Linked DNA regions of Mus musculus. The protein of the gene in region 2 binds, or shares a complex with, the protein of the main gene of each other region. Links are inferred from orthologs where the notes say so. Each region holds a gene or a part of one and is shown on either strand. Other genes may lie near its edges.

What was found.
Region 1: Cc2d2a (region 2) and Tmem107 share a complex: the UniProt entries of both Homo sapiens proteins name them as parts of the tectonic-like complex. The link is inferred for Mus musculus from reciprocal best matches to the Homo sapiens genes CC2D2A and TMEM107.

The regions. Positions count from the first base shown.
Region 1 is NC_000077.6:69,068,899-69,074,443, reverse strand, and holds Tmem107 (transmembrane protein 107), read right to left. Parts: upstream 3,636-5,545; 5' UTR 3,498-3,635; coding exon 3,411-3,497; intron 3,221-3,410; coding exon 3,153-3,220; intron 3,071-3,152; coding exon 2,970-3,070; intron 2,022-2,969; coding exon 1,925-2,021; coding exon of another isoform or gene 1,846-1,924; exon of another isoform or gene 1,699-1,845; coding exon 1,629-1,698; 3' UTR 1,151-1,628; downstream 1-1,150. UniProt on the Homo sapiens protein: Plays a role in cilia formation and embryonic patterning. Requires for normal Sonic hedgehog (Shh) signaling in the neural tube and acts in combination with GLI2 and GLI3 to pattern ventral and intermediate neuronal cell types.
Region 2 is NC_000071.6:43,660,754-43,666,219, reverse strand, and holds the start of Cc2d2a (coiled-coil and C2 domain-containing protein 2A), read right to left. Parts: upstream 3,842-5,466; 5' UTR 3,661-3,841; intron 845-3,660; exon of another isoform or gene 690-844; intron 171-689; 5' UTR 1-170. UniProt on the Homo sapiens protein: Component of the tectonic-like complex, a complex localized at the transition zone of primary cilia and acting as a barrier that prevents diffusion of transmembrane proteins between the cilia and plasma membranes.

The sequences.
Region 1 (5,545 bases), on a different chromosome or scaffold from region 2:
AGTAATTCCTATTGTTTTGTTGGCGAAAGGGTACTTACTACTCAGCCCTGGCTGGCTGGAAACGCACTTCGTAGACCAGGCTGGCCTTGAAGTTGTGGCCCGCCTGCTTCTGTCTACTGAGTGCTGGTATTGTGGGCATGATCACCATTCCTGGCTGCTTTAAGTTTGTGACACTGAGGATTTCACTCAGGGCCTCAAGGCATAGCAAGTATGCACTTACCAGTGAGCTAGCTGTATCTTCAGTGTAAATATAACCTACTTAATTGCAAGTTCACACTGTTTAATTTAAGTAAGAGTTCGGTTTGGCAACCTGTCAGTAAGGCTCCTGGAAAAAGAAATGTTTTCCAAGTTCAGTAAGACAAATGCAAGGGTGTGGGTGTGGGCTTCTCCCAGAGCTGTACTTAAGTTTCTCAGCAATAGCTGAGACATATGTAACATTTTGGTGACTCTGAAACTTATTTTTTTTAAGCATGTACCACAGTTTACAGGATTAAATAAGTCTGGGAGTACTGTAAAACTTTTTTGTCTCTGTATGCCAAAGCTGAGTATAGGTCATATCACATCTATTTTCTCAGTACTGTTAACAGGGCTTTGCCTATGGTAAGGAGATCATTAAATTGAATGTGGGGAAGAAGACAAGAGATGCTTTAGGTAATAGTTAAGGAATTATCAGAAAGCACCTCCTGGCAAGCATAAGGAGTGGCCATGGGTGCTTTCCAGGAGCTGGGCAAACAACCAACAGCCACCTTGATGGCATTGTTTACCATAGAAGTGAAGACCTTAAAACTATGACTGGCCAGTTTAGGACAAATTATAAACAGCACACAGTCTGGCTGTAAAGGTCTACCAATCAGCACATTGGAAAAGTGTGATCGCCAGGGAATCAGATAGGAGCAACCAGGATGTTGTCAGGTCCTGATTGCATGGAAATGCTAATCAGCAGATCATGCAAGCTCCAATCATCATTTTCTACTGCCCTCCGAAAGGAGGAACAGGTAAGGATTAACCTCCTGACGATAAAAGGCAGAGGGAGCCCATTGCTAAATAAGTAGAGACATTTCCTATTAAAGGAAGGGTGAGAATACGTCACTTTAGCACGAGCCCAGTGACTTACAGTTCTTGCAACGCAAGAATAATATCTATTTGCAAGTCGTTTGAAGTATTTTATTCTCCATTCGGCACAAAAAGGGAGAAACAAAACCATCCCAGAATGCTCCCCTCACACGCGGCAAATTAGAAGCGCTATGTGAGATAGTTATTTGCATATCCCCGCCCACTCACTTCCGCCTAGCTTCTAGCGTAAAAACCCAAATAGAAGCATTACTTCTAGCCCTAACCACAAGATAAAAGCCTTTATTTATACCAGCCTCTTGGCCCATCCAATGGTCTTCTGAAAAATAGTATACGCCTTGCTCTTGTTATAAAATAAATTTTATTACAAAACTCTAATAAAATTATAATCCAAGATTTGAGAGATCTTATTCCAACACTGCCATCCTCTGCTTAGCCGCAGTTGGGAGGAGCAAGGGACTTGGGCGAGAGAAAACTGAAGCCTCTGCCTTTTTCTTGCAGCAGTGGGAGGAAGCTTCATCACTTTTCCAGCCTTGGTCCCTACACCCGGATTGTGATCAGAAGGGTTTCTTTTTCAGCCCAAAGACAGCGATGAATAATGCAGTTTCAGTGACAGCTGGGAAGGCGCTGTGAAAAGTACGGGGCCGCGGGGGAGGGGGGGGAGTTAGAGCCCCTTCCAACCCAAACACTTGAACCTCCAAACCTTATATGCGGGTGGGTTAGGGTGGGTATGACTCTTCAAAACTCTACCAATTTCACATGTGCAGGAAAGGTCTAGGTGGGGGAAACCTTCAGATTTGGGATCGATTTTCCACCACCCCCCCCCATTCCAAAATATTGGGTGCTAGGGCACCTGCAGAAGGTAAAAATGTACCAGTACGTGGTACATTCCCATCGCTCGAATACGAAGAAAGACAGGGCCACAGACGCGCTACAGTGGGCTGCAATGGCTTAACAATACAGAGGGGGTCAAGGAAAGTAATCGGTTCGTGATGGGCCCCGTTGGTACCTGGACTTGGGTTCAGCTTGTACCCTTCCCTTAAGACAAGCGCCAGAGTTGGCAGCCAATGCCTTCTGAATTTATGGACAGTTATGTGTAAGAGACCAGAGCTGAGTTTGCTTTGATAGGACCTCTCCCTGTACACTCTGTACACTTCTGGGAAGGTTAATGTCATATATGCCCTAGGCCACACAAGAATACCTACAGATCTGATACACTGGGGATTTCTCCAGTGCCCTGGTCTTCCTTGTCCACAATTCAAGAGTAAAGAGCTACCTTTTTAAAAACACAAACAAACAAACAAAACAAAACAAGCCAGGCAGTGGTGGTGCATGCCTTTAATCCAGCACTTGGGAGGCAGAGGCAGGTGGATTTCGGAGTTCGAGGCCAGCCTGGTCTACTGAGTTCCAGGACAGCCTAGGTCTACATAGAGAAACCCTGTCTTAGATAACCTAAATATATAAGTAAAATAAGATTTAAAAAAACCCAAAAAATTCACCTGCCCCTGCCTCCCGTGCACTAGGATTAAAGGCTTGCAGAACCACACCTGGGCTCTATTTTCTTGGTCCCTTCTGAGTTCCCATAGTGCTTTGTATTTTACACACACCTACAAGCATACTGTTTAATCACACTGATTTACAGATGTTTGTCTGCCACCTCTTCAAACGGGATAAAATGATTTTACTCCCATCCAGGGATCGCCAGAACCTGGCTCACATCCGGATTTAACGAATGTTTGAAGTCTATTAATTCCCCAACAGTGTCTAAAACCTCTCACCTAGAGAGAGATTCGGTTTACCATGTAGAGCAGACACTTGTGCCCCAAAGGCCTACAGAGGTGGAAAGAGTGGTAACTGGGATGAGTCACCTGAGGACGATGGCCAAATAAAAAGGATACAGAGGAGGCTCTGGGTGCTATTGAACATGGAGACTCCTGAGAGGAAGCCAGCCAGCTCCACTGCAAAGAGGCCCAGGGTGAGACAGAGCGCGGCTACCAGCCTGCAGAGAGAAAAGGGCTTGGACCAAGGTTTCTGGATTCTGTTGAAGACCCCTGCACTCTCACCCCGCCCCAAGAGCTCACTGGTTGTCCTGCTTTTCGTATTCCTCCGGGGTGAATTTGAGAGGCAGGCAAGCCTGGATGTTGCTTTCCTGGCGAGCCGGGCAGAAAGAAAGAAATGTCAAAAGAGGAATGGGGCTGCGGGGACAAGTTGGGAAGGGGCCGGGGAACGGAGCAACGAACGGACCCTGTGTGAGTGGACTGAGCTGAGCTGGGTCCACTCCAAGATGAGAATGGGAGGGCCAGGAGGGCACGCGCACGCGCGCCCTGTCCGCGTCTTACCCGGGACCAGAACAACGTGATGACAACCACCAGATGAGCCAAGAGCGTCAGGAACCGAGAGGGCACGAGCCCGGAGATCCGACCCATGGCCTCGGGGGCCTCGAGTGGAGGCCGTGGGTTTTGAGGTTGGAAGTCTGGGGTGGGTCACTCATCAAGTCTCCCTGAGCAAGCAGGCCAGACCTCTCTACTTAAGTGTCCTTCCCGCGCGCTCGGGCGCCGCCCGGCTGCCATGGTAACTGCGTCCGCAAGCGCCACGCTGCTGCTTTCGGAAGTCTCGCGATAGTGCTGCTCCCTCTACCAACGTCTATAGGCGCGGTACGTGAGCCGTTGATGGACCCAAGAGGATGCAGCCAGAACCACCAAATCCTCCCTTCTCCTGTGCTTCCCACTCACTGCCTTGGGCGCTAGGAGTCGAGGGGACGAACGAGGAGAGGCTGATGCACCGAGCTTGTCCCAGGGTCAGGCTAAGTCCCCTAGCCCCTGGTTGTCAGAGGACTCCCCCTTCCGCCCTAGAGCAAAACTTTGCCGAAGAATGACTCTAATTTCTTCCTAAATAACTTGTCTCCGTGTCATGAGAGATTTGCCGAGTGCAGAAATGAGCAGCCTTGGGATGGTTAAAATTGGATGTGGGTGAGGTGACTGCCTCGGGAACCGAGGGGATCTGAAAGGGTGAAGAATGGAGCGGGGGACTGGAACTGCTTGCGCTTAGCCTAGGCTGGGACGCTGACCCACCACCGATTTCACTCTTGCTCTGAGTTGTTAGGCCCCGGACATTGCTCAGTTACAGACCAAGAACCTCTTCTTAGGGTGATGTGACCGATTTGGGGCTTCGGATGAAATCCCTGCAGATCGGAGAATCGGAAAGTTCTCAGCACTTTCCAGTTCACAATCAAGTCCCATGTCAATGGACCTCCCATCCCACTTGCACTCTCTGGTCCCTCCATTCCTTTTTCTTTGTGCCTCTAAACCAGCCCAAAAGACAAGGCTCAGGACCAGAGGGATTTCATCTATTCAACAAATATTTGATGTCTCCCAGATGCCAGGCACTGTGCCCCAAATCTGAGAGTACCTCGATAAAGTCCCTCCAGGTTATATTCTAGGTGGGGAGATTGATAACAGCCAAAACAAGAACAAAACCCAGCGAGGTAATGCGTGCTATAATTTTTTTAAATTAAAAGATAATACTAGAATAATATCAAAGGGAAGCTTTGAAAATAGATACTTCTTAAATTTTTGTTTCAAGGAATTGGCAGAGAGAGAGAGGAAGGAGGTGGAGGAGGAGGAGGAGGAGGAGGAGGAGGAAGAAGAAGAAGAAGAAGAAGAAGAAGAAGAAGAAATGATTCTGTCTCCCTAAAGTAATACATGGGGTTCCCTTTCCTAAGCCAGTTAAAGGTCATGAAAGACAGACTGGAGGTCTTCTAAATGAACGGGGGGTAGGGGGGTGTCTAACTGAACCTGAGATCCCAAACCAGGCAAAAGAATTGCCCCCCCCTCGCCCCCTTTTATTATAAAAGACTGAGGTGAGATGCTTGGCAAGTTTTGTATAGGGTTTGTAACTTAAACAACAGCATTGTAATCATGTAATTTCCTGATTTTTTTTTTCAGTATTGGAGATAAGCTCCAGGCCTCTTACATATAGGTAGGTAAGCACCCTCCACTGAGCCATCCTCCCATCTTCCCTTCTGAGACCCTATAGTATTATCAACGCAGAGAATGGCATTCTAAAACACAAAGAATAATCTATAGCATTGAATGTCCTTATATATTCAGCTCCTACTTATTGAAGCTTCTGCCTGTGGGCTGCACTGGGGATCAAACACAGGGTATGGACCACGCTAAATGATTACTTTACTACTGAGCTCCACTCAAGCTCCTATATGGTGAAACTATAACTTTTTCATATAAAATTGAGTCTTAAGCTGGATAGGGGGAAACACCTATAGTCCCAGCATTTGGGAGGTGGGGGAAAGAGGTTTAGAAATTCAAGGTCATGCTAGGTTATATAGTCAGCTCAATAAAAGGAAAAAACTAAAATGTCTCTACAAAAAAAAATGTAGAAATGGCTTAGTGATTAATCCTTGCACCAGGTGTTAATCCTAGCACTCAGGAGGCAGAGGCAGACAGATCTCTGTGAG
Region 2 (5,466 bases):
TTCCAGAGAGCAGGAGCAGTACTTTGTGTATTGTTTATCCCCAGAGCCTTTGCCCAGGCCACTCAGTAGACGGACAGTTCATGTGTGTTTGTCAAATGAATGGCTCAATTGCTATTCGGATCCATTTTTCATGGGCACATTCTGGAGTCCTTCAAAGCCTCGCTAGGATGCTGTGAAGATTCAATGAGAGAAGATGAGGAGAAATATTACACACAGGACTGACAAACCTTAAGCTTTTCTTAATCTTATGGGAGCCAAATCTTAGCTGCTCTGGGGCCCTTAAGCAGCTCGCCCCAGGTGCTGGGGGAGGGGGTTGCTGACCCTCCTACGGAGTAAACATGTGAAAGAAAAACAAATGATCTGCCAGTCAGTTGTTCTTCATCCAGACCCTTCCAAACACTCAAGCAGGAGAGGAGAGAGGCTGAAAGCCAACCCAGAGGCAAAGAGGTGTGCACGGGAATGGGAGGGGCCAGGAAACGTACACAGAGATGCCTACGGACATCAATGGCTCTGACCAACACTTCTGGTTCTTAGAAATTGGAAAGAAAGGATGCAAAGTATTTTAGTCAGTGGAAAACAACCTCTCCACAAATTAAAAACAAGTCGTACATGGAATTAAAAACTCGAGGAGGAAAATGACAGATGTAATGGACTTGTTTCCTCTCTCCCCATTCTTTCCCCATCATTACCTTCCAATGAGTTTTGAGAGAAATCAAATGACACCAAAATTGATCTCTCCTCTGAGCACTGCTGGCTCCAAAAAGATGAATAAACACCGCTCGCTCAGCTTTAATAAGCCCCTGTCGTCAGTGTTGGCCATGGCCACTTGTTAATACATTCTTTGACAGTGTCAAAATAAAAGCCCTGGGTGTGTGGAGCTGGAGCTTGGCAGTCTCCCTGTGCACTCGCTCTGCTCACCCTGATACACCAGCTCTCAGTAGGATGAGTGTCAATTTAGACCCAAGCAAACCAAGATTTCCGAAATCATGTGAGGCCACAGGTTTGAAATCTCCCTCTCAGAGTCTGACCTTTGTGCTTTGTGGTTCCAAAGTTCTCTCTCCATGGCCCCACTTTAATTTTGTTAAAACAAGATTACCATCACTAGTCTATACTGTCCTTGCTGTGAAAATACAATGGAAAACCACAAACACTATAGCAATGTCCTAATTATATAGGTGACACAAGGCCAATAATCTATTTTACACAGGGCAGATAACCAACTAATTTTAAAGGAAAGTATCTACACTGTTTTCTGACCACATGAACTGTCTCTAAAGTCAGCCATTAAGAGTCATATCCAAGAATCCAGGGATGAACCTCCAAGATACAGAGAAGGACTGAGAGGAAATGGCTATACTATATAAAGTACTTCTTAATTGAGACTGCTCCGAAAGGATGGTGTATTAATTATACAAAGAAATTATGGCTTTAAAGAGTGAGGTCTTTGGGAAAAAAAACATAGTCCTAGGTTCAAAATCCCCATTTTCTCACCAGTGTGTGATCTTGAAACAACACAGCCAATTCTATAAATTCATAATCAAATGTCCCACCTTAGGTGATCATCATTTCTTATGGGTAACCCATTCTTATGATGGACTCTGTACTGAAATGATTGTAATAAAGTGACTGTCACAGACCAGGCTCTCTGTGTTGGTAGGGTTTATGGTTTTATTATTATGGATGTTGCCAGAGTTTGGGTTAGAACAGTTGGCAACTCTAACAAGATAGGTTTGGCCACCAGTGCCCCAGTAGGGCAATGAAAGAGAAAAATAATGGACAAATCAGAGACAACATGATGACTTTGGGAAGTGGAACAGAGGTGCCCAGTAATGTCACAGTCAGTCTTCCAGGGTCCTGATATGAAATTTGGGTCTGAATAAAAGGTACCAGGAGGGATACATAGCTAAGCAATTTTGGTCAGTGTGGTCCTTTCCATCACTGACATGGCATTGTCTCTGTCCCTGTACCTTCTGCAAGGTGATTGACAAGCTGTCAGAACTGTCTTTTGGAGACAAGTCCTCCCTTGTGCTGGTACGAGCAGCCCATCTTTTCCTTCTCCCAGCGCTCAATACTGAGAAAATACAGCTCTGAGAGTCCATTGTTTTAATGGCTTAGAGTCCATTGTTTTAATGGTCCGATAGCTGAAGGAGATACACAAATGTGTCTTTAGAGTATCTTTTTACCAACCAGGATGGTCAGATGAAGAGGTCATGGTTGCGAGGGGAGGTGGGAGGAAGGGATGGAGAGGGGAAACAGAGGTTCAGAGATGGAAGAGAACCATAAGAAAACCTTAGGGTGTTGAGTGCTATCCCTTTACTCTCTTTAGTTTTTGTCACCCATCCCTGACAGCCATACACAAGTCTCTTCTCCCCTTCCTCCAGCCAGGACCAGGACACTTGTTTTCCCTCGTCTGTTTAAAATGTTGCTGGAACCTCCTCCCCTCCACGCATGCTCACTTTCTCTCTTCAGAGACGAGGCTTTTCCTTTCGAGTGGGAGGGCCCGCTCAAAGTTGTGAACTCTCAGGAGCCATCCTGTGCCTTTTTAATGATTAATTATGTAGCAGCAAGTTACTCTAGCCCCAGCTTCTAGGGTACCAGGTGAGTGACACAGCTGTGTGTGGTCATTTAATCAGATGGACGGGACACCTTTCACTTGATGAGGCCAGGTCAGCACCCAGGCTCTGCTCATGGGATTGCTCAGCTGCACAGGGGGTGCTGGAAGCACCTCTATGGCAGGAGTCCCGCTGTGGGCCAAGCTCTTTAGACCTTTTTACAAGTCTGTTTTGTCACTGATCTCATTATCTGTTTCTACATCTGCTTCCCCAGCAAAGTCTCACCACTGGACCTGGTCTAAGTTGGTTTTGTACACTGTAAACTTGAGTTCTTCATCTGCTGCATCATTGATGCTCACTAAAAACTTGAATAAATGACTCTGTAAGTGAACTCTAGGCCAACTATCTATATACAGATTGATCTATGTTTATATATGTGCATATCTCTCTATCTCTATGTATACATATATGCACATATTTTCTCTATCCATATACAGTTCCCCTCTATACAAAGCATGCTGTCGTTACACTTATTTGCAGAAATGTTATATAAAATGCAATAGCAGACATGTATTTCTCATTAGATTTTATTAGCATTTCATAGCACCTAGCATTTCATAGCACCTAAAATGAAAACAGCTGAGCTGATGGCCAGTAGACTTCTGAAAGCTTGGCAGACCTCAGCCCTGCGGTTCAGAGCTCTTTGTCCAATAACAAGAAAAGTGGAGCTCGCCACACGGAGAGTACTCCCTCCGGCCCGCCCTCCCCTTCCCCGGAGCAGTTTAAACTAAAGGCCCGAAAGCAACACGCAGCTAGTGCTTAGCAGCACACTGACCAGAGAGGCTCTCTGTGAACCGGTTTGCTTTTCCCCTGCAAGCCAGACAGCAGCTGAAATCAGAGCTGTCCCTGCAGTGCCCCCACTTTGCATTGAGAGAGTGAAACTGCAAGCAAGATGAAGGGTCTCTAATGTTAGCAAGATGAGAGTCCCTAACGTTACAAAGCATTCATTCCACTCTCACTGCACCAGGGAGGGGCTGGTTTCTCTGCCGGAACGGAAAGGAGAGGAAAGCAGGACACTGCAGCCTGTCTCTGTTAAAGACTGATTTACCTTCGTCCACTCTACAAAACGAAGTTTGCAGATTCCACTTGCTGGGCTGAAGGGATGAGATGAGAGACCAGTTGTGTCAAGCCAGAGAACCTTTTAGAAATGAGCGAAAGGGTGGGCTGGGGTAAGAGAGGTTACTCCCTGGGAAGCTGCAGCCATATCTCAGGGTTTAAAAAAAAACACCAGCTTAGCAACCAGTTCCCAGGGAAGGTCACTAGGCGGCCGCTTTTTTTTTTTAAAGTGGCAGTTTACTTTTAAGACTTGGAATATGAGCTTGCTGGGCAAGCAGTGGAAAAATAACGTGCTGAAGAGAGACAAAGGGAAAGCAACTGGGCAGCCTAGCAGAGAGGACTCAGGCTCTCAGCAGGGTGTCCTGCCTTATGTCTCTGGGTTGCATGGCCTGTTGGGTCAAGGACAGAAGGTGTTGATAAGTAGAGTGGTTTAGAATCAGGAGGGGCCATGTTGTGTGGAGCTGCCTAGTAAGCAGTAGCAAAGACTATGTGGCCGGGCATCAGAGCTATCAGAGCTCCAGCGTGTGTTGCATTAGGGATGTTGGCTGGCTGTGCACAGAAGCTGGACCGCACACGCCTAACCTCTGTTTCTTCAACTCTTCACTACAAATGACCCAGCGGCCCAGCAGGGATACAGACAAGATGGCTCAAAAAAAAAAAAAAAAAAAAAAAAAAAGGCAAGAAACCAGGAGAAAAGGCCAAGTAGTGAGAACAGTAGTAAGCAGACTCAGACTCTACAGGCCAAAGACAACCACAGATCAAGGAACTCCACAGACCGCGGCCTCCTAACCCCAAGTGTTGTTCCTCAGAAGCCTGCCATTTTGTTTCTTAGACAAGACCTCTGACTGGAAGCTGGCATTTGGTGATTAGGCTAGGCTGCCTGCCTAACTCCAGATCCCTGCTTGTCTTAGCTTGTCTGGTGCTGATAGAACAAACGTGGGCCACCATGCTGAGTGTTAGCCACCTTCAAAGCCAGGTCCTCATGCTTGTGTGATGAAAAGCCCTTTACTAATAGAACTATCTCCCAGCCCCTATTTTCTGTATCCCTAAAGCTCTGGCATTCACTGCATGGGTCTTAGATAGATCTCTGAAGCTAACTAATTCCTAGAGACAATAAATGACTCCAAGGAAATGCATATATTCTCTTTGATACGTACTAACTGACCCCAAGCTGGCATCTCCATCTACTGCAATCACCAAGAAGTACCCCTCTGCTCTAAGTCACTCTGGAGGCAGGTGCTTAGGGAGCATGTCTATGATCCAGAATATTCTGAAACAAGTCAAATTATTTAATTCTAAACCCACCAGCACACTTACCATGCCACAACCTTCCTTCCAGGGAAAACCCCAGTAAAGGGTCTCTTTTGGAGCCTGATGTTTGGAGAATGCTGTTTTTGGAGACTGCTGCTGATTGTGTTTGGTTGATTGGTCTGTCTTTGTATCCCCAGTGCTGGGAATATAGATGCCTGTAGCCACTTGGCTTTTTATGTGGGTGCTGGAGACCTGAGCTCAGTATTTATTCTGGGCCAGTATCTTATTGATTGAGTCATTTTTTTCCCAGCCCAAGAAACAAATTTATATCCATTGTGATATTCTGTTATAGAATTATAAGACATTTCCTGCTTTGAAGGATCTGTGTGAATAACCTTTCTACAAGACAGCCATGTCTGTGTCTTCATGTCTCACCGTACCAGAGAACCCAGAGTTCACTTTTTAACATATGTGTGTACAGTGTACACATGAGCCAACATGTTTGTGTGGTGTGTGTGATGGGGAGAAGGAAGATATCAGATTGAGG